Tamandua tetradactyla: one gene and its partner. The protein of the gene in region 2 purifies or fractionates together with the protein of the main gene of each other region. This does not show direct contact. Links are inferred from orthologs where the notes say so. Each region holds a gene or a part of one and is shown on either strand. Other genes may lie near its edges. The genes, in order: UBN1 and CABIN1.

Evidence for each region.
Region 1: the proteins of CABIN1 (region 2) and UBN1 purify together in Homo sapiens (affinity purification with western blotting; 6 studies listed by BioGRID, with this or other methods). This does not show direct contact. The link is inferred for Tamandua tetradactyla from reciprocal best matches to the Homo sapiens genes CABIN1 and UBN1.

What each region holds. Positions count from the first base shown.
Region 1 is NC_135349.1:52,235,559-52,247,057, reverse strand, and holds the start of UBN1 (ubinuclein-1), read left to right. Parts: upstream 1-6,760; 5' UTR 6,761-6,853; exon of another isoform or gene 6,854-6,884; intron 6,885-6,915; exon of another isoform or gene 6,916-7,219; intron 7,220-10,470; 5' UTR 10,471-10,507; coding exon 10,508-10,756; intron 10,757-11,499. Other genes in the region: GLYR1 (cytokine-like nuclear factor N-PAC), read right to left, coding at 3,647-3,726, 4,721-4,757, 5,792-5,829. UniProt on the Homo sapiens protein: Acts as a novel regulator of senescence. Involved in the formation of senescence-associated heterochromatin foci (SAHF), which represses expression of proliferation-promoting genes. Binds to proliferation-promoting genes.
Region 2 is NC_135331.1:25,628,669-25,640,208, forward strand, and holds the start of CABIN1 (calcineurin-binding protein cabin-1), read right to left. Parts: upstream 5,623-11,540; 5' UTR 5,552-5,622; intron 5,543-5,551; exon of another isoform or gene 5,165-5,542; intron 1-5,164. Other genes in the region: DDT (D-dopachrome decarboxylase), read right to left, coding at 9,451-9,523, 11,413-11,540. UniProt on the Homo sapiens protein: May be required for replication-independent chromatin assembly. May serve as a negative regulator of T-cell receptor (TCR) signaling via inhibition of calcineurin. Inhibition of activated calcineurin is dependent on both PKC and calcium signals.

The DNA of each region.
Region 1 (11,499 bases), on a different chromosome or scaffold from region 2:
ATCCTGAAATCGCCTTCCTCTCAGTGTCTCTGTTAGAAAAGGAGGTCCAGACCAACGAAGTTAACCATTTCCTACGGGCTGTCAAGAGAGCTCTCAGGCAGTCATTTGGGATCAACCCCTCGTTTGCCCAGCACCTGAAAGCTAATAAACACTCCCTCCATCTTGCCATCCATAGCCACGAATGAAGCTTTTGAACTCTAAGCGCAGTTTCTACTAAATAGGTGACCGCCCTCAAAGTAGACAGACCCCTGGGTAACAAACAAATTAACAAAATTAATCTTTGGATGTGGTCACCTGGTGGAGCTGGCAAAATTAAGCTGAAGTTACTCTTCCTGCTTGGCTGCCAGGGCTCTGAGAGCAGAATACAACTAAGTCTATCCATCCCCTACCCAGGCCTCCCCACCTCCTTGGAAAAGTCTGATCCTAACAGTGGGATTCAACACCATCACAATGTGTTACATTTTGGTAGAGATGGGGAGAGAAGTTTTCTGTAAGACTGAAATCATCATATATCCTGTCTTAATAGCTATCCTTTTCACTCTTTAATAAAGGGTCTTCTTGATAGAAAAAAATTATTTTTTTTCCTGTAAGTAGTATGTAGGTTCTGAAATTGAACATTCCTGATGAAATTGTCTTAAGAACACAGGAACAGCCAAGCTGAACCTCTCAGACCTTATCCACTCAGCTCAGAGTTTCCCACCCTAGGACATGCCAGGAGCGCGTGCTTTTCGAGTCTAGCTTCTTCTGTAATCACTATGGCATTACCTGTCACAAATCAGTTCTCATTCTTAAAAAATTCTCTTGTATTTCCTGGCTGTACCAGCTCTTAAATGTCTGCTTTCTATCATATTCCCTGCACTTGTCCTGCACATTCTTCTATTCTACTCAAGGTGCCCCTCACTGAAATGTCTGAGGGTTTATGAGCAAGTCAGTTTTTACCTCCTTAAGGCCACTCATGACTTTGTGAATTCCAGTTAAACTTGTTTTCCAGTTGCCACCTGCTTTTGCACCTGAAAGAACCCTACTCTTTTGTCTGACTCGGTTCCATTCTCTGGATCTTGACTAGATCTCTCAGATCCTTTTGGAAGCATGAAACAAACCGCATGTAGTATTCCTGGAGAAGCACATCACGGTTTAACTTAAAGGTGGAATAATATACTGTTTTGTGTTCAAAGCCTTACTCCTTAGAATCTCCAATTCTCAGATTCCTCTCTTTTCCAATACACATACACACACCCATACATAAACACATACCCTCACGGGCACAGTCTCTCACTTTTCCTTAAAAGCTTCTGCTTCTGTTAAAATTCAACACCTTTCTCCCATTTGGTAACAGATATACACTTTCACCCGATATTTGTTAAGCATCTGCTATGCACCAAACCACACTATACTTAAGTGATCCTATTTCTTCACTACTACGAGGAAGAGGTACTATTCCCACAGTACAGGAGAACAAAGGCACATCAGGCTAGAAACAAATCCAGAGCCCCTGCCCCAAAGCAATTCCATGCCACTTGTCCAATTACAGAAAGCATAAAGATACTAAATAAAATTCGCTTTAAAACTGATCACTAAGGAACCCATCTCCCTTAAGTGAGCCTTTGTTTCCTTTCTCTAAGTTAACTGCCTATTCACAAAAGGTAGTATGTTAGCTCTGTGGTGATTTAATTTTAAACAGCTTTTTAAGGGGACCTCTAGCAAGGGAGTGTAAAAGGCTTACAGACTTACCTAGTAGTCACTCTGTATCCACCTGCTTAAGAAAACTCAGAGAACTTCCTCGGTAGAAATCACATCACTGCCTCGTCCCCACTGCTGACACCTCCAGGTTATATTCACGTTCCATGAACCTGGTAAGTGCTGAACTTCACTCAATTCCAATCTCCTATGACCTAATGCTAGCATTTTGTTAACACAGGGGCCACAGTTCATTTTTCTAGCCTTCCTGCATTTTTTTTAACCATCACGAAAATAATGGCTTTTAGGTTCCCTATAAGTTGATTAACTCCCACTTTCTGTGCATTTCCATTTTTGTTTTAGACTTGAATAATTCTTCATTTAGTTAACTGAGTTTGGGCCAACCCATATTGCTTCTGTTATTCCCAAGCACAAATTTTTCACTCCAAGCAGGGAGCCTCTCCCTGCTGACAATGGCTGAATGCAGCCTTGTTCATGGTATCCCCACTGCCTGGAATGCTTTTATCATACCTGTCCATCTAAATTCTATCCATTCTTCAGAGCTTGATTCAAATCCCATCTCTTCCTTCAGGCCTTCTTTGACTTCACTGTCTCCACTGATCTCTTCCTCTTCTAGAATCCTTTCGTAATTACCTCTGCACTCATCTACACATAATCCTACCTGAATGTTTATGTCTTTACTACCTAAGGAGCTCCTGGAAGGCTGGGACCACAAAGCTTGCTTTCCTGGGAACTCCCTTTAGAATGGAGCAATGCAGTGTAAGGATTAACAATGAACACTTGTTTTGTGCATAGGATGGTCTTTCTTATGGAATTCGTGGCTTTATCTCTTCTAAAGGGTCTCTGACCAGTGACTCCCTTGAAGTATCCCCACCACAGATCAGTTAAGTTGGTTTGTGAGAGAACTGAGTGCTGGGTATGTCGATATATTTGTGTGGTTGAGGGAGACACACACAAATGGAAACACACAAATACTAAGTCAAAAAAATACTCTGATAAACAAATCCTGAATGAGCCAAGAACATTACTTATAAGGGGTTTTCACATTTACTATATTGCTTTCTAGGAGTGTATATTTTAACACTCCAACATCAGATTTATTGGAAAAATTAGACATTTTCCAAACCTAAAACCACATTTTCCTTCAAGAATCATAAAAAGAAACATAACTACCTAGAGTGCAAACCATTTACTAAATCCAGTTAATCACCTGGATGTAGTGAAGAGAAAGCTAAACAAATCACAGAAAACTCATGTAATATATACTCTTTCCCTCATTGTGGCTTCTTATATGGCCCTGGAGAGTGAGGTAAAAGGATTTCAATCTCAAATTAATGGCCCTAGTTTTCTCAACTCTAGGACATATCTGGTTAAAGAGCTTTACTAGGGCAGGCCACGGTGGCTCAGCAGGCAGAGTTCTTGCCTGCCTTGCTGAAGACCTGGGTTTGATTCCCAGTGCCTGCGCATGCGAAAAAAAAAGCTTTACTGTTACACTGTCAGGGCAAATGACCTAGTTTTACAGAAGAGAACAAGACTTAAAATTAAAATTACTTTTATTAAGATAAAAAACATTTCAGTTTTCACTGTATGTGTGATGCATGAACTACAATGGTATGCAGCCATTAAAAGAGAACCAAACATGGCTCTTATAAAAGGAAGTGCCCGTGGATGTAGACAGACAGATGTGACAAGCTAACTGAATGGACTAGTTTATTTAGAAGGTTCTTACCTGATTGAAATAGTCATCAGCACCAGGATAGGTGCCCACGACAATTTCTATGCAGTAAGAACAGCACCTTTCGTTTAGGTATGAAGCCAGGATGATATGCTACTCTTACAAACTACAGGATAAAACTGAACCAAGATCCTAGAATGTTCTCAGAGCAGCTCAGGCCCAGGGTAACATCCAAACAAAGGCAAAGTGAAACTCGTGATGAACATTACTCACTGATCTTCTGTTCCAAAAAACTTCACAAAGAAGCATTTCTTTCCACGTGGTTTCTTCAAGTCCTTGGGTGGATTAACAATCTGGGCAATAAAAAGAAGAGGTTTGATGGCAATATAGTTCACTACAAAGTAATTTTCCACAGCTCTAAACTGGTAAGAAAAAATAAATAAATGAGGAATATGTATTTAAAAAAGGAACCCTAGGGCCTAATACATATCCAAATCTGGCACTTTTCTATTGAGATGTGTGGAAATGTGCAAATATTCTGCAGGTGTCCTCTACCTAACATATGGCACTGAATTCAGCAGACCCCATATCCCGTTTCACTGCCATGGCTCCATTTTAAAAACAGCTCAAACTAAAATCCACATCTTTTCCTCCCCAAAGTGATCCTGTCTCATCAATGAAGTAATGCTGAGGACACTCTTAAAAATACTTCTTGTGCAGGTGGAGTTCATGAGGCAGGTAACAGTGAAAACAAAGGATAAGAGGCACTGAAAATGCCACATTCCAAAGAGACAGTCCAAAGATATTTACTGGACTGCTAACAAGAAAGTAAAGACAGAACGTTGGAGAGCTATGATGGACTGACTTGTGTGTGCAGAAGCTAGAATGTCAACTTTTGCAAAGATGCATGGGAGCAAGCACACATGGTAAAATGAAAAGAAGACTTAAACTTCGTTAGCACAAAAATACTTTGACTTTTTAACTAACCTACATTTAGATTTCTCTCTTCCTGGATAATTGCTGTTTGTGATTAAATTTAAGTAAAAAGGTAAATTCCAATTAGAATTGGTTTTCAGAGTTAAAACAAAAAAGACCAACACAAATCAGCTATGAATCAAGAAATAAGTGCTGCAGATTAAATGACATGGCTTATATTTTCTTTTCTAAATGAACTGACAGCTCAGAAAAAAAATTGTGAACAAACGTTAAAAATTCAGAATAAATGTTATTTAAATGGGCCGAGTTTTACTCAAATTAATGCTAGAAACCAGGAGGAATGGATTTTACATTCCCCACATACCCAAACACAACTTCAGATATCTTCCTTTAGAAGCAAAAGACACTCACCTTTCCTGGCCAAGGAGGATACCTGCCGAGTTTCCCCCTAGAGAAAACACAAAGAGTCAGGCACTTGCCTTGGGAAAGCCAGTCCATCTCCTTCAGCCCACGCAACCTGCAATTTACTTTTCTAAATCTCGGCCGGCACTCTCAAGAGCCAGAAAAAAGCTGGCAAACTGGAGTTCTTAATTTGACTTCCACAATGGGCCTGAGATGGCCCCAAACCCTCAGAAATAGATACAAAATTATATACATATGTGCACGAAGAGCTAGGTGCATTCCTCTGATGACAAGGAACAGAGAAAAACCATGAGACTTGTCCAGTCTCCTGGACACTCGCGGATGGAGGGCAGTTTCTTCCGTAAACACAGACTTCCCCTTCCAAAATCTGGTTTAATTCACCACGAGACCAAGCCGGCTTTGACAAATGCTAACGAAATTCTTCCGGGGAATCGAGAAACGAGCTACGCAGCTCCAGGGAGGCGGCGACAGTCAGTCTTAGTTCGAGCGGTTGTCTGGGACACAGACGCAGACCACGAAAGATACCCAAGAAGGCATTCACTGTTCACTGCCAAGCCTTCGCTTGTAAAGGAGAAGTACCCCTCCATTTCTTCACCGAGCAGCGCCAGTGGTCCGGTTTCGACATCCCGGGTCGAACCGCCAGCACAAGTCGGATCCATCGCAACGCGGAGGTTTTGATCCGCCTGCCCGGTAAACTGGCCTCACGGGCTCCCCAGCTGTCCTGCTTTTCGGGGAGCCCCACCAAGACCCCAGCCGTGGGAGCCGTGTGGCGGCCGAATGCTCCCTGTACCGTGGCCGCCTAAGTCTGGGACCTGTGCACAGGCCTCCCTCGGGCGGCTTCGGGGCTCAGAGTCGAGCTCACCGCGGCTACCCTCGGCCTCAGTCCCCCGGGGCCGAACTGCCCCTTCCGCCCGGCGTCGCTCCCAGCGCTGGCACTTAGTTTTCCCCTCTCTTCGCCGCCTAAAGCGCAGAGAAGGGCAGCTCCGGGGCTGACTGTGAACCCCGTACCCAGAGAGCAGCACCCCAGCACCTCGCTTGCCCCCGGCCGCCCGGACTCACCATACCAAGTCGCCGAGCCGCAGACTCACAGCCGCCATCTTACCACCCAACCACCACCGCCGCACAGGCCGCCGGGAACATCAGGTCGCCTCGACACCGCCCATTGGAGTGAGGAGGACCACGTGATGAGGGCCGGCTGTCATCGGCCACGCCGCTGCTCTGACGTCACTGCGCCCTCTATCTCTCATTAGCCGGTCGAGCGGCACGTGATTCGGGCGCCGCGGTCTCCGCTAGCCGAAGACCCTAGACTCCCGGCTCCTTCCCCGCCTTCCCCCCCGCCCCACCTCCTCGGCTCGTGACAACGAAGCGCCCGCGGTCTGAGGCAGCGGCGGAAGCGACGACGTGCGGCTGGCCGAGCGCGTGAGGGAGCCGGCCTTGAGGCCCGCCCCGCCTCCCGGGGCCCTGGACTCCAGCCCCCTCCCCCCTTCGGCGCTTCCGTTTCGGCCGTTAGTTCCGCGCGGGCCCCGGGGCCATTCCCGAGCCTGAGGCGCCGGCCGGCCTCGTCGCTGCACCCGGGAGCTCCCCTGACGGACCTCGGCGCGGCCTGGAAACCGGAGCCAAGGGTCCCGCGACCGGTGGGCTCTGCTTGGCCTCAGCCCGGGTCCCCCCTCGTCTCCGCGCCCCGAGCTCCCGGGGGCTCCGAACGCCGCGCTTGTTTGCGGGCGAGGGGGTCCGTCCCGCCGCCGTCCGGGTGCCTTGGCGCGCTCTCGCGGCCGACTTTCGCGCGGCCAGCGGTTCGGGTGCGGGTCCGGCGCAGCAAGTTCTCCCGGGGCGCCCGCTGGCAGCCTGCTCCGCCGCCCCCCGAGTTGCTCCGCGGACCTCGAGGCGGCACTTCTGCGCTTTCTTCTTGGCCGGCTCGCGGCACGGCCGACGCGGCTGTCCCGGGCGCGCGTGGACCCGGTCATGGGCCGCAGCGCCGGCCGGCCGCCCGCCGGGAGCCATGCCTCGGAAGCCGGCCGCTAGCCGCGCCGCCGCTTGGGGCCCCTGGCCGGCATGAGGACAGCCGCGGGGGGACGCGTGCGGCCCGCGGGGCCGTAGCCTGCGCCGGCGCGGGGGACGAAGGTGCGTGTCCGTGTACGGACCGGACGCTCACGTAAGCCTCGTTGTAGTTTGACACTTTGGAAGAAGTTGGGATCAGGCGGTTGTGCCCACAGGGAGTCAGATGCCAAGCGTGGTGTCGACGCATGAAAGTTAAACCGTTAAAGGGAGACTCTCAGTGGCAGTTCGGCACAGCGCCTGCCCAAACTCCAGGGTACCTGGTAGAAACAAATAGAATTTTCGAAAAGCTCCCAGTCCCGGTTTCAGACTCCGAGGAGTGATTTTAGCGCTTGATTTAGAACCGGAGTTTTCCGGAGTTAGCGATTTCCTGGAAAAGGTGCGAGGTCCACGCGCGCATTTCGCGTATGTGTTTTGTCATATCCAGACTTGGTAAGTGGGTTTTTATTTTAGCTTGCTGAGTTGGCCTCAACGCCGGGTTTCTTAGATCAGTTTCTCTGAAGTACCGTGAGCCAGTTTCAGGAAGTGTCATTTATTGTTTTGTTTTAAAGGTAAACTGGTTATTTAAAGCGTATTTAGGATTCCAGGAAACAGTCTGATAAAATTAAACGCATTCGTAATTTACAAAGTCTTATAATTTGAAGAATTGAAGGATATTTAATAACTTGATAAAAGAGATAGATGCCTTTTAAATTACTGTCATGCAGGCTCTAGAAGCATTGCCATTAAGGTTATAATCATGGCTAAGAATATTTGTCTTATGTTAGCCTGGAAGTTTTAGCCAATGCAATAAGGCATGAAACAAAAAATAAGAAATATAATTTTTCAGGAAGGGGAAGACAAACTACTCATTTCCCGGGATGATAGAATTGCATATTTTGAAGAAATGAATAGTCGAGGAAAACCAGTAAAATTAGAGTTAAGAAAAACTAACTGCAAAATCGACAAAGTTCAGTTTTCTGGTTAATGGGTTCTGTTTACAATGACAACAACGAAAAGCTCCTGGGAATAATCTGAGATACAAAAGGAGGCGTGAGGAAATAGATGAAAGTGCCATTCTTGTTTAATTTCAGTTGAGGTTTTTTAAGAGGGATGATTTTGCAGATAGAATTTTACTCATTTTGTATTATTTATAAATAACAGGACTTTTTAAATAAAAATACTTGATCTTTGACAAAAGTTCAAGTAAGAAACCAGTTTAACATATCAAATTTCCCTAAATAACTCTTTTTACAAAGTTCAATTTTCTTTAGCATATTACTCTGTAATTAAAATTTTAGATGCTTGATTCTTGTAGATACTTCAGACGTCTAAAAAAGTAAACTTAGAAACCTAACATAAATGTTTCTGAGGACTTAAGCAATTGTCATTAAGTCTAATAAACTTATAAATGGAAATCTGGTTCTTTTTGAAAGAAAGTACAGGGCAGGCAATGGTGGTATAGTGGCAGAATTTTTGCCTGGCATGCTGGAGGAGACCTGATTCCCGGTGCCTGCCCACTCAAAAAAAAAAGTGCAAACACTTTCACACTTAATTATATTTTCTTAAGCATCTCAAATTAAAATTGTAAATCTCACAACACTCATTAATGTCCAGTTCTCTTGAATGTTTCAGATGGCCTAATAAAAAACAATAATACAGTATGATGATTACAAAACTTCACCCAAAATCTAACCCATGAGTCTTAATCTGCTATATCTTTGATTTGCTTTATCCTCTAATTCTGTTTCTATACCATTGGCTTCTCAGGCTTCAACGAAGAAGTGGTTGAAGTTTAGGTGGGTTGAAGTTACGATGTGTAAAACAGACCAAGATAAGGCTACATTTTAAAATCTCTTACTGGACAGGGACACTAGCATTTGCCTGGTTGCCACTCCCGGAATGACCTTCTTGCATCCCATTGATTAACTTGATTCTCTTCTTAGAGTATTTGTCTGCTCTATTAGAAGGGACCTTTAAACTTTTCCTTTCAACTGAGATGTAATTTGACAACCTTGTGAATCAGTATGTCCCAGGTTTTGTGTCATAATGGAAAATAAGTATTGGATATATACAAATGCATATACATATATGGATTTATAAGAGATATATATGAGAAATAGCATCTTCTTGACAACTCTCACTTATGATTCAGTTACAATAAAAACTGACAGCCCCTTTGGGAGAACTCAACAAAATGTTTCTAAAGTTCTGAAATAATAAGTAGGCTGGAGTGGTAGTGGTATTTTTAAAGAGTGATAAGAGCTTTCAGTTCAAGATTTTAAAATATTCCGTATAACTTCAAAACAGTATGGTATTAGTTAAAAAAAATCTTAACTACTACATTCATACAGCAGGATGGATTTCAGTAATAGACCATAAGAAACATGGGATTTTACTAGATGATGTATGCCAAATTGGCAGGGATAAGAGGGATTATTTAGTGATTGATACTGGGAAGAATCAAGTTAGGACCTCACGCCATAGCTTATAGCATAATATATTCCACTTGGGTTAAATAGTTAAATGTGAAAAGTATATAAAAGACTGTGTAGATAAATTCTTATGTGAGATCTGGTTGGAGAAGTACATTTTAAGCATGGAAGAAACAGGAGAAGTCACAAGGGAAAAAAAATTTTGAGGGCATAGAAAGTTTTCAGCTTGCCTCATTCTAAGTAAAATTTAAATAGGGAATAAGCCAGGAAGAGTACTTGTGAGAGATTAAATGATTTATAATAATGATTTATGTGATGAGGCAAAGGGATATTTATCTGTAATATATCAAGGAGCCTCACAAATCAATTTAAAATCTACAATTTATTCAACTGTTCCTTTATCACTGGACATGTGGGTTGTTTCCACCATTTTCCCCTATGTAAACAAGGTTACAATGAATAACTTTATTGAAATAAAAGTTCACATTAGGGTGTAAGTTTGTAAAAATAGGATACAATTATTCCTGTAGCACAAAAAAGTACATAATGTATGTTTGCATATTTATGTTCTCTAAACCCTTGGAATTCTTAGATTCCAAATCTATGTTGGACGTTCCCACACAATTGTGTAGTTCTTTGGCATGTGATCATTTGTCACTTTGTTAAGGCCCACGTTTGAATGGGGAGAGGGCTGGTGGTCAAGTGCCAGTGACTTTGTTAGAAAAATAAGTTTAGCCATACATACATCACTGAGATGCTGATTTTTTGCTTATTCCAGGCTAGGTAATAACTTCCATGATGTGATGAAAACTTTCATTGTGAGCATTGGCCCCAAATGAAAGTAAACTACTGGTGATGAACATAAAGAGCTCTTAAAGTGGCTGTTCTCTGTTGGGGGGAAGAAAAGTGTTGGATAAGTTAAGAAGAAAGCAGTATTTTGTAGTAGTAGTTGCAATTTTGGGAATTCTTAAGGATTTGTCATCATGGGTTCTCTAATGTCAAGGATCGGCTATATATTTGTAGAAAAAGACTGGAAAGGAAGTATGTGAAACACTGATTATCTCTGATAAGATTTGGGTTTTCATATGTTACATATGAAAAAAATATATTTAGAAAGAATATTAAACAGAGAAGTACAGTTAATGGCAGTTGAATTTTAACAAGGGATTCTTCCCCGTAATGAAATTTTTTAAAACTTGTAATTGAGCAGAGAAGTCATTATTTTTTTTCATCTTGATTTGACCCAGCCCTTTTTTCCAATGTTAACAGAAGCCATGCAGTGACAACCACCGACTTGTTGGTAGCCATGTCGGAGCCCCACAGAGTCCAGTTCACATCTCTCCCAGGTTCTCTGAGTCCAGCATTTTTGAAGAAATCCCGGAAAGAAGAGGCTGGGGGAGCAGAACAGCATCAGGACTCTGAGCCGGCCGCAGCAGCCGTTCGGATCACACTCACCCTCTTTGAACCAGATCACAAGCGTTGCCCAGAGTTCTTCTACCCAGAACTAGTGAAAAATATACGAGGGAAAGTGAAAGGCCTTCAACCTGGAGACAAGGTACACCTCAGCGTCACTGCAGATCTGAGGCATGGGTGTCACTGTGTGCAAATGCGGGTCCCTTAGGGTGGAAGCAAGACTGGAGAGTCTTTGACTGTCCCAAGGTCAAGTTACCCATCCCAGGGCACAAGAACCAGGCTTGATGATTTTGCCTCTAGGCGTGAAGGGATAGAATTTATGTTAGTGAAAAAGGTGTGGCACATCCATGGCTAATTGGAATTATGGCTAATTAATGTAAATAAAAGGAACCACAAATTTTTCATGCCAAGTCTGTAAGTATTATACGTAAGTGGGACCAGTCCCTGACTGTTCCAGTGAAGGAGCCTGATCCATGCTGGTGTTTTTCTTTTCTGAGGGATTCTTACTCTGCCTTTCTTGCCAAACCAGAAAAGACAAACTGTTCATCTCTTCTAAACACAGTAGTACTTGATAGTTTCTTTGCCTGGATGGACAGAAACCTATTTTTTGGCTTTTTGAAATTTTTACTTTTTGTTTTCTTTTGCCAGAATTGGGTTGTAGCCTTTAGGGTTTATTTGTTTTGTTTTTAAAAATCAAGTTGATTTCCTAAGAGTTTTTAAATGTTCCATTTGTTTTCTTGACAGATTTGTTTTACTTTTTAGTATGGACGTTTTCAAACATGCACAAAAGTAAAGAGAATAAGTATAATAAGCCCCCGCATACCCATCACCCCACTTCGACTGTTAATATTTTGGCAAATCAGTAACATTTTTTTAAATTAAAAA
Region 2 (11,540 bases):
TATAAATACCCATCAAAATCCCAACAACCTACTCTGAAGAATTGGAAAAGCTAGTTATCAAATTTACTTGAAAGGGAAAGAGACCCTGAATAGCTAAAGATATCTTAAACAAAGAAGAGTGAAATGGGAGGACTATCACTTCCTGACTTTATAGCGTACTATAAAGCCACAGTGGCCAAAATAGCATGGTACTAGCACAAAGATAGATATATCAACCAATGGAATGGAATTAAGAGTATGGCAATAGACCACCAATCTACGGACAACTGATATTCAATAAACCCCCAAATACACTAAACTGGGACACAATAAATGGGCATGGGAAAATTGGAAAACAATAGCTCAAAAAATGAAAGAGGACCCCTTTCATTTTTAAACCCTATAGAAAAATTGATTCAAAATGGATTAAAGACCTAAATGTAAGAGCCAGTACCAGAAAACTTCTAGAATAAAATGCAAGGAAACATCCTCAAGATCTGGTAATAGAAGATATAAGTAGCTTCATATACTTTATACCTAAAGCACAAGCAACAAAAGAAAAAAATAGACAAGTCGGAATTCCTTAAGATCAAGACCTTCTGTGCCTCAAAGGACTTTTCAAAAAGGTGAAGAGGCAACCAACTCAATGGGAGAAAATATTTGGAAATCACGTATCAGATAAGGTTTGATATCCTGTACACATAAAGAAATCATACAACTCAACAAAAAAGAACAAAAAAGCCAAATTATAAAATGGACTAAAGATATGAATAGATACTTTTCTGAAGAGCAAATACCAATGATTAAAGAGCACATGAAGAGATGCTCATTTTCATTGGCTATAAGGGAAATGCAAATTAAGACGACAATGAGGTATCATCTCACACCCTTAAGAATGGCTGATATTTAACAAACAGAAAACTACAGATATCGGAGAGGATGTGGAGAAATTCGAACACTTATCCACTGTTGGTGGGATTGCATAATGGTACAGCACTAAGGAAGACAGTTTGGCAATTCCTCAGACAAGTAAATATTGAATTGCCCTATGACCCGGCAATAACAATACTTGGTATATAACCAGAAGAAGCACTATTCACGATTGCCAAAAGATGGAGACAATTCAAATGCTCATCAACAGATGAGTGGATAAAGAAAATGTGGTATATACATATGATGGAATATTATGCAGCAGTAAGAAAATGAGGTCCTGAAGCACATGACAATATGGATGAACCTTGAGGACATAATGCTGAGGGAAGTAAGTCAGACACAAAAGGACAGATACTGTATGGTTTCACTATAATGACTCTGATAAAGGTAATCTCAGAGGTTACACCATAGAATATAGCAGACGTAGAGGTACAATAAAGCTAGAGATGGAGGAAAGGCTACCCAGAGGTCGAAATGAAATGCAAGGAAATCGATAGAAGTGACAGTAACTAATTAGAGGGTTTATAAGTAACATTGCCATATTGAAGGTGAACATGATTGAAAGGGGATGTATAGTGCCATGTATCCCACTGATTAAATCTACAATTATAAATAAGTTCTTGCAAGAACTACTTCACAGGTTTGATAGTGGACAAAGTCAATAGTAGAGGGATACAAGGCGGAAAACTAAAAATGCACGCTACGGCCTACAGTTAACAGGAAGACATCAACAGTACCACAGAATTACCAGGGGCAGCTAATTTTTACGGAGGAACAAGTGGTCTAGGCTCATTCTAGGATTTCTGGCCCACGTTGCCAGGAAGGTCTGCACCCCTGGGAGTCATGTCCCATGCAGACAGGGGAAGGGCGGTGAGTTTGCTTATTGTGTTGGCTGAAGAGAGAGGCCACATCTGAGCAACAAAAGAGGCTCTCTTGGGGGTGACTCTTAGGCCTAATTTCAACTAAAGCCCTGGATTTTGAGGCTTGCTGTTGCGAAAATTGTTTCTGTTGGGGAGAAGCTAAGACCACCCATAACGAGGCCTAACGGTTGCTTCCCAAAAGCCTCTTTGTTGCTCAGATGTGGCCTCTCTCTCTCTATGCCTAACTCTGCAAGGAAAATTGTTGCCTTCCTCCCTACGTGGTATACCAACATTCAGGGGTGACAAATCTCCCTGCCAACTGGGGTTTGACTCTTGGAGATAAATCTGGCCCTGGCACCATGGGATCAACGACGTCTTCCTGACCAAAATGGGGGAAAGGGGTATAGTAAAGCAGGGCATCAGTGGCCAAGAGAGATCAGGAGGGGTCAAGAGGCTGTTCTGGAAGCTGCTTTTATGCAAGCTTCAGTTAGATAGCAGTGATTGCCATGGTTTGCTAAACCCCAACCAACTTCACTCCTGTTGGCTCTTAAGAACACCTGGGACTCGAACTGAGACTCTATATAAAGGTTTCATGCACTAGGTTTGCCTTCCTGGGACATATAATTCCTGAGAGTTACTGGGTCAGATAAATCCTGCCTCTCCAAGATTATCAATTTATTTCATCCCTCTATCCTTTAGTGTCGACACCCCTTCTCAACATGAAAAATCAGAGCAGATATTCCCCAAAGATTCCTATAAATTGGGAGAAGGATTAAAGGAGAAGGAGAAGGTAGAGCAAGGAAAATGGGACTTGGCAAGCAAGTATGACTGCTGAATCACCATGTTGATGCTCCTTCTAGCCTCCAGTGTCTGGGAGCACTAGAGGGAAAGGTCTGAGATGGTGGAGTGGTGGCCCATGACAAACTCAGGGATCTGTTCTGAAACTACTAGTTGAAATGTGCTTTGAAAATTATTCCTCTTTTCTTTCTTTGCTTTGTTTGTTATATTACACACAAAAAAATTTTTTTTAAAGAATGGAAGCTCATTGAAAGGGCAGAGCAACTGAGTCACAAAATAAATGGTGTTAATATTGGATTTTAACTCACTTTATACACTTAATACCCATAGCCCCTAAAAACTCAAATAAACAGCAAATGCATAAATAATTGAGACAGAAGGGACAGCTCTTCTTACCATCAAATTTCAATGAATAAAAGCAGAAGGAACGAGGGAAATAGAGAATCACCATGAAGCAAACTTCACAGCAATAAATACACAACATTTATGTGTACATGAGATCCAAATGTTAAAGTTAGTGGGCTTAAGTTTGTGGAAAACCAGAATTTACTTCCTACCAAAGTATTTCCACTAAGGCAGAAATCCTGCAGACACCAACTTCAACAAGTAACTCCAGCAGTGAGACATGTTGCCATCATGAACCCCTTGAGATGAAACACCGAGAACAGAACATTGCATTTTGTGTTATTCTGTCCAAAAATGCACACCCTCATTCTACTCAAGAGAAAATATCAGACAAACCTAAGCCAAGGTAACGTTAGACAAAAACAACTATCAGTATTCTTTAAAAGCATCAAGGCCAAGAAAGAGAAGAAGAGACTGAGCACCCATTTCAGAGGACAGGAGATGAAACAGAAATAACAAAATACAACATGGGTTACTGGTTAAGATCCAGGAATAAAAAAAAGGAACACGAATGGGGAAACTGTTGAAATTTGAATTAGGGCTATCATTTTTAATAACAGTGTATCAGTGTTGGTTTCCTGTTCTTGACAACTGTACCCAGATGATGTAAGATGTTAGCATTATGGCAAGCAGGGTGAAGCACATAAAGGAACTCTTGTATTATTGTTGCAACTTCTCTTTAAGTCAAAAGTTAGTTGAAAATCAAAAGTTTTCAAATAAATAATCATTTGAGACTATTGACTGAGCATCTGTAAGAAATGTGAGGCCCGGACCATGTACACCAGGGACCCCAGAAATCCACTAAGAGGAGCTTACAAACCAAAAGCAAGTCCCTTTCCTCAACAGCCACTAACGTGCTCAGTTTCTCCAAGGAAACAGAGGCTGCATCGGGGTGAGGCCCTCACCTACAGGGACTGGCACCACGGGCTCCACCTCCAGGCCCACCGGCATCTACTCAGCCTTCCATCCTCTGCCACGACAAGGTCACCATCACAGAGGGGACGAAAGATAAATATTGGGTGCAAATGGCAAACCCTTCTGGCCCAGCTTGTTTGTAAAGGCCCTGACCAGGATCAGTATGGGGAGCCTCGTGTGCTACGTAGGAGCTAGTGAAGCTGCCCCAGCGGGGATTCTTGCCCACTCTCCCCAGCAAGCCCAGCCGAGGAGAAGAAAATGGAAGCAGAGAAAGAAGAATCGTTGTAGTCTGATGATGACATGGGCTTTGGTCTTTGGGACTAAACCCTTTGTGTCATGTGTTCAATAAAAAGTTGAACTCTTTAAAACTTAATTAATTAATAAGCAGCAGCTACCAAATGGAGAGGAGAAAGGAATTATCTGTTCGTTTCTTGGACTTCCAGTTCAGCAGCTGCATTTTCGCAGAGTAGCACATTCACAGGTTTAACCTAGCAGGTTCCCAATGGCCTTATAGAAGACATGATAAAGAACATTTCAGTTGGAGCACCTAACGCTGAGTGGTCTCCAACCCACATGGGGCACTGCCTGGCTGACTAGCTGACCTGGCATAAGATGCCCCTCTCTGGATGTGTTTCTTTTACCTTTTGAGGCTTTGGACCAGACCAGAGGTCTGCAAACTAACCCACCAGCTGTTCCTGTGCAGCCACCAGCACAGAATGGCTTTTACATTTCTAAATGGCAGACACGTGAATGACAGATGCAAATGATCTGACACTTTCATGCCCATAAATAAAATTGCACTGGGGCACAGCCACTCCTTTGGGTGGGTTATCTTTGGCTACTTCGAATGCTAGAATTGAGTAAACAGATTATGGCCTGCAAAGCCTAAAATATTTATTAGCTCGTCCTTTACAGCAAACTTTGCAGACCCCCGACCAGTGCAATTCTAAGGCCATTCCAGTCCTAACCCAGTTCTGGGTCCCAACAGAAGGAACCTTAGCTGCATGGAATTCGACCTTCCAGTTTCAGATGTAATATCATGAAGAGTTAAGTGGTTCCCCAAACTCAATGTGCCAACATCAGTGGGGCGTCAGGAATATGCTAGCCAGGGTATCCCCCACTCCATCCCCGGAAACCAGTGCAGCAAAACGGTCAAGATTTTCAGTCTGGAGTCAGGCTGGCCCATGGGTTGGCTAGGTGACCTTGGAAAGTCACTTCACCTCCCTCGGTCTCTGTTTCCAACCCTGGAAACGACATGAACAAACAGCACTCACCTCGGGGGGCTGCCGCAAAGTGAAGCGAAAGGATGCGGAGTAAAAGGTTAGCCTTTTGCAACCGCGGGACGCCGCCTCAATGGTGGGTCCTGCCGTCGTCCCTGGGACCCACTCCCGAGGCCGGAGGCCGGTCTAGGCACCCAGGGCGGCGGTGGAGAGCCAGAAAGAGGCCCCCGCGGCAGCCAGGAGGCCTGGACCCAAACTGGCTTCCCCGACTGCGGCACCGGGGCTGCCACAGGGACCCCACCCGCCCCACACACACACAGCGTCCCCACGGGTCTCGAGCCCATGCAGTCCACCCCTCCGGCTCGTGCTCCGGCCTCCTGGCCCCGCGGCGCCACGTTCCCAACCCGGGGCCACCCCCACAGCCGCAGTCCCGGGACTCACCCGGCGTCTCCACGGCAACGGCCCGATCGCCCGGACCCCCGCGCCGCCGGCCGCACGCCTGTCAACAAGGCTCGCTCCCATTGGCTCAGCGCCGGGCGCGCCAGCCAGTCAACGGGGTCGTACGCGGCGTGCGCCCGCCCGGCCGTGGAAGACGGGAACGCGCGCGTGTCCGCCCCCGGGCTGCCTTGTCGCTACAGTTGTAGAGTTCGGGGTCCGGGTTCCGAAAGGCTCCTGGGGCGCCGAGCTCAGTGTCCAGCCCGGGGCAGTCGGTGAATGATGGGGTGTATCGTCCTCACCACCTGGGGCAGGGGCTCCGGGGGCCGAGGGAATTGAGGGGCACGTCCGGGAGCCCCGGGGACGCGTTCACCCGTTCCGTGGCCCTTGCGAGTCCACGCGAGCAAGCAGATGACAGCGATGATTATAGTGGGGGTGATAGATTTAGGGTGGGGGTGGGGGGTAGTGAGACACCCGCTTAGGATAGGGAGCTGTAAAGAGGGATGAACACAAGGTTATATGCAAAAAAAAAAAAAAGAAAGAAAGAAAGAAAACCGGGTTGGATAATTAAAGGGAGAGCTGTGGGTTTGAGAGACAACTCCTTCACCTCTGGTGCCTTTCTATTGGTTTTGGGGTTGGACTTTAACATCCTTAGTGAATAGGTCACTTAGACGGGTTTATGTTGACTTGAAGATATGATATGCCCAACCAAGGCCTGTTGTACTTGGAGGGCCGGATGGGTGAAAATGGGTCACTTTGTTTGGAAGGTTTTATCTTTTCTTAAGATCCATAGCTCCTGTGGCTAGGGTGGCATTTGTGAAGGGGATGGTAACCGTGGTGAGTTGCTAGCTCAACTCCCAGCTCTGTTCCCACTGGTTGGGTCCCCAGTGTCAAGGATTGAGTATGGGTGATGGACTTCTTAAAATGGAGAATGCATGGGATTTAGAGACTTTACAGGGAGGGGGAATAAGTCTCTTAGACCAATCGTCTTTGATTTGAAGCCCCTAAGTCTTCCTAAGGCGCTTTTTTTTTTTTTTTTTTTTTTTTTGCCTGTCAGAGCAGAAATCCTTGCCTCTGAAAAATGCCTGACTTATCTCTGTGTTTTGAGGGTGTAGATAATAGAGCACATTATAGGGCACTTGATTTAGAATGTATTGTCTCAAAGCAGTGTTGGCATATTGTGCATTATTTTACAAAGGAAGAACCTGACAAAATTGGCTTAAGTCATACTTTTAGGAGCAGAAGAATCCCAACCAGTTACGCTCCCTTACACACTTCCAATTTATTACTCTTTCTAGTAGAGATAACCAACATCTTTAAAGGTCTATGGACAACTCTTGTTGCCTTTGAATTATGCCAATACCAAGAGGTTCTGTTTCAAGGAACAGATGAGGCCACTCTAGGATTAAGAGGCTTATTTCAGGAGTTCCTGGGAATTGATTTTTTGGGTTTTTTTTTCACAATGACTGCCTTTCTGTTAGTTTTGGCGGTGGACTTTAACATCTTTGGCAAATAGGTCACTCAGATGGGTTTATCTTAACTTGAAGATATACCCAACCAAGGCCTGTTGTACTTGGAGGGTGGGAGGGGTGAAAATGCAGATGGTCACTTTCTTTGGAAGGTTTTATCTTTTGACTTAAGGGCTATAACTTCTGGGCAGGGGTGTCACTTGTGAAGGGGATGATAACCCCAGTGTCAAAGAGCCTTTCCCCTTAGGTTGTGAATACTTCCTTGTTATGGGGTATTTCCCCAACTCCTTGCTGCATCCTTAACTTAGTCCAACCTGAATAACATGAACAAGGTGGTGGCTGCTTCTCTTCCTAAGTACTCCTCTTTAAGTACTACAACCTTCTACCTTCTACTACTACTACCTTAAGGTTATTGCTACTACCTTCAGTGTTTATTTCCTTTGAATTGAGCCTTTCTTAGATCATTTCCCAAAGTAAATGGTGCTCTGTGTCATAGATATTGTGCATTATTAAAGAAGGAAAAAAAAAAAGGCAGAGGAGGAACAGATAAGACTTGTTGTCTGGCCCTGATGAGGTGAGGGTTAAAATCCCATTTGGGGCATGGCAAACATTCATTCATGTTCAACCCACAGACATCCCCGGAGAGCTTCTGGGAAGCTGGAGACCCACAAAATGTGTTGGCAGAAGGAACGAATGCAGAAGCAATGTGGGCAGGGAGCCAAGTGAGGGGCACTCCAGGATCTGGCTTTTAATCGGTCAAGTACAGACACAGGCAAATTTCACTGGAAACTAAATGTATTAAACTATGTGAACCACTGTGGTAGTTTGGAGGCTATACATACCCCAGAAAAGGCCATGTTCTCTTCATCCATTCATGTGGGTACAGATCTGTTGTGGGTGGACCTTTTGATTAGGCTATTTTAGTTGCGGCCTACACCAGGGTGTGTCTTAATCCCCCTTCCTGGAGCCCTTTATGAGCAATGAAATTAAGAGAAACTCACAGAAAAAGCCCCAAAGAAGCTAAGGGAGGAAGCCACTGGAATCAGAAGCTGAAAGCAATAAAACTCGGAGGGAAGGACCAGCAGACGCCTGCCATGTGACAGGTGTCCCTGCGATTTGGCCCAACCGCTAAACTATCGGGGAACCTCTACTCCTCAGCTTCTCACTGCTTGCTAGACGACACTGCCGCACGTAGAAAAGGGGCTCGAGCCGGGGGGTCTGGGTCCAAGGTGCGCGCGCAGGAGACCTCGCTGCGGGTCTAAAGGACTGGAGGCCGAGCCAATTAAGGCATGAAGCGAGGTAGCTTTATTGTTGGTAGACGCTTATGCCAGGACCGCCAGTAGCTAAAGACCATGAGGCTCGGTGAGCCCTGGATTATATACAGTTTGAGGAGAGGCGGAGTTAGGGCATGGCCTCCAGGGGAGGGTAGCCAATCACACAGGGAGGACGGATGAGTGACTGTGACCATAGAGATGCTGTTCCTGAGTGTACCCGTAGCAGAGGATGTTGGGTAGGTGGAGGACTAAGGAGAAGACCAATAGGGTTAGAGAGACAAGGCTGCATCATCACTAGTCGCCGGTGAGGCCTGTAATTCAGAGGTCTAGAAGAACCGGACGTGCCAAAATGGCGAGGGAGGGAGAGAAAGAGACTAAGCTACCAGGCCAAGAATAAAATTATGCCACAGTCCCAAAGGTATCGTCCCGTTCTGCCTTATTTTGGACATTCTCACAGCCTAAGAACTGTAAATGTGTGAGCTAATACATCCCCATTGTAAAAGCATTTCCAGGTTTGGCATCCTGGGATATGGGTTTTACGAGGTGCACGGCTCCAGGGAAATCTCAGCCAAGAGTCAAGGAAGAAAGTGGCGCTCGGGAATGCTGAGGGAAAGGTTCCTGCAGCACACCCTTTCCAGCTCCCCTGTGGGCACAGCGTCCCGAGACCTACAGGAACTGCAGGAACTGCCCAGGCCACCCGAGGATGAGGACAGGAGCAACTGGTCAGCAGAGTTTGCAGGAAGGCCCAGGCTGGCCCAGCTGCCCGCCCCATCCCACCAGCCCTGCACGTGAGTGTGGGAAGATGGGGCTCCGGGCCAGACCTTGCCCCTAGGACTAGAGTAGCCCAAATGTATTAACACAGCAGCCCTGAAGACAGGAAACAGCCCACCTTTCAGTTTCTCCAAGGTCCCTTCCTCCTAAACCAACAGCAGCAAAAGGGTGGCCAGGGATACAGGGGAAGGTAGTAAAAGTTTTAAAACAGAAAAGCTTGAAAGATGACTCTTTCTTCATTTATTTGACACAGAGATGGGGAACTCTGTGAGGTAACAGGCACGCTATACAACAGGGCACCAGGAGCCAGTACCCCGAGGCCCACTCTGCCAGGAGGCCTCTCTGGAAGGGTTGACAGCTTCACAGAGGCCTTGAGTCCTGTCCGCGACAATCATAAGAAAGTCATGACCGTCCCCTTCTTGCCAATCTGCCAGGGATCCAGGGGGAAAAAGCGGATAATGATCCTTCAGATGGACAAAAAGAGATCATCAGCTCCCTGCTTAAGGCCTCATATTCCAAAATCCCTAGGCAGGCCAGTCCACAGTGGGCTCCCCAGCCAGCCCTCCTCAGCCCACCCCTGGAATGGCATTTTATCAGCCTTCCCTCACCCACCCACCCCCACCCCAGGAATGATCACTGACTCCCCACCCCCAAGGGGCCGTGGGCCTGGCAGGGCAAGTGGTTGCACGATGTCAGCATGGCCCACTTAGGGAAGAACCCAGCCTCCTGGTGAGTCCCATATGCCCTCTCTTCTGTTTCAGACTACAGGCAGCTGCAAAGACCCTGGGGGTGAGGGGGCACACACACCCTGCCTCAGCCACCCCTGTTTTCTCAAAGCCGAGCTCACACCAGACAGGGTAGCATGCCCACTAATGTTTTTGGAGTGAATGAATACTCCTCATTCACAGAGGTTAAGAGGAAGTTCCTGGGGAAGACCACCAGGGTTTGGGGTAGCCCAGCAGGAAAGAGGCGACTTGGCCTTGATATCTCCGTCTGTAAACTTGGCATGATGGAGGTCCCTATCTCATGGGGAAGGCCTGTGTGCCAGTTTGAATCTGTTGGGTACCCCAAAAAAGTCAGGTTCTTAAATCCTCATTTGATATTGTTGGATGAGATCTTTTTTATTAAGTTGTTTCCATGCCAATGTGGCCCACCCAACTGTGGGGGGTAACATGATTAGGTGGTTTCCATGGAGATGTGTCTCCACCCACTCAAGGTGGAGTTGCTTACTGGAGCCCTTTAAGAGGGAACCATTTTGGTAAAAGCTAGAGTGTTCACAGCCAGAGACCTTTGGAGATGAAGAAGGAAAACGCTCCTAGGGAAGCCTTATAAAATGAGGAATGAAAGCTATCAGAATTTGCATGTGCCTTTCCAGTTGATAGAGGAACTCTGAACATCATCTACCCTCTTAGGCCAAGGTACATTTCTCTGGATGCCTTAGTTTGGACATTTCTATTGCTTTGCCTTAATATGCATTTTCACAGCCTTAGAACTGTAAACTTGTAACCTAATAAAGTCCCTTTTTAAAAGCTCTTCCATTTCTGGTGCATCGCATTCCACCATCTTTTACAAACAGCCTGTAAGTATCAGATGAGATGACGCACATGAAGAACCTGAACCTGGAAAGCACTAGCTTGTTATGTACTGGGGTTAGAATTATTTTCTCCCTCCAGCCTGAGGGTATCTGAGCAACCACCAGCAGCAGCCACCAAAGGCTCTGCTCTGGACAGCACTTTCAAGCTTCTCACAGCCCTAGTTCCCCATAGGCACCATCTCCGCCCCAGGAGTATTTTTCATCCAGGAGGAAATTTTAACCCTGCCCCAGAATTCCTGATCTGGGACTTGTAGGGGTCTTTTAAGGATTCATCTAATCTACCCCCTGCCCCTCTATTCACAGATGAGGAAGCTGCAAACTGGAGATGGGCCCTGTCGGGATATGCTTGGGGTCCCCCAACTGAGCTGGCCCAGGACACCCAGGCCAGTGCTCTTTACACCACTCTGTGACCCTTCCCTGAGCCTCCACCTAGAACCTAATTGGGCAACAGGCCCAAAGGTCACAGCTCAAGACATACCCAGAATCCCGCCCCCATCACTAGTCTGGGGGAAAAAAGAAAATCTAGATTTTCTAAGATTTGGAGAGGCCTGAAGGCAGATGATTGCTTACTTTAGAGGAACATTCTGCCAAGGTGCAAAGATCAGTCCCATGTGACCCTAAAAGCCCCTGGAGAGTGGTCTGAGGGGCAGGTTGAGAAGCCCCAGGCACAGGTGACCCTGGGCAGATCAAGGCAGGCATTTAACCCCCGACTTTACGAGGGGCTCGGGGGCCAGTCCCTGCCGCCCCGCGCCTACGCACCGCTCCTGGTCCAGGGCCAGCTCCTTGGTGAGGCACTCGAAGAGCCGGGCGCTGTGGCCGCGGTTTTCCTCGGCCGTGCCCACCACGCCGATGGAGGAGACGAGCAGCTGCGCGCAGGGCTCCGTGGA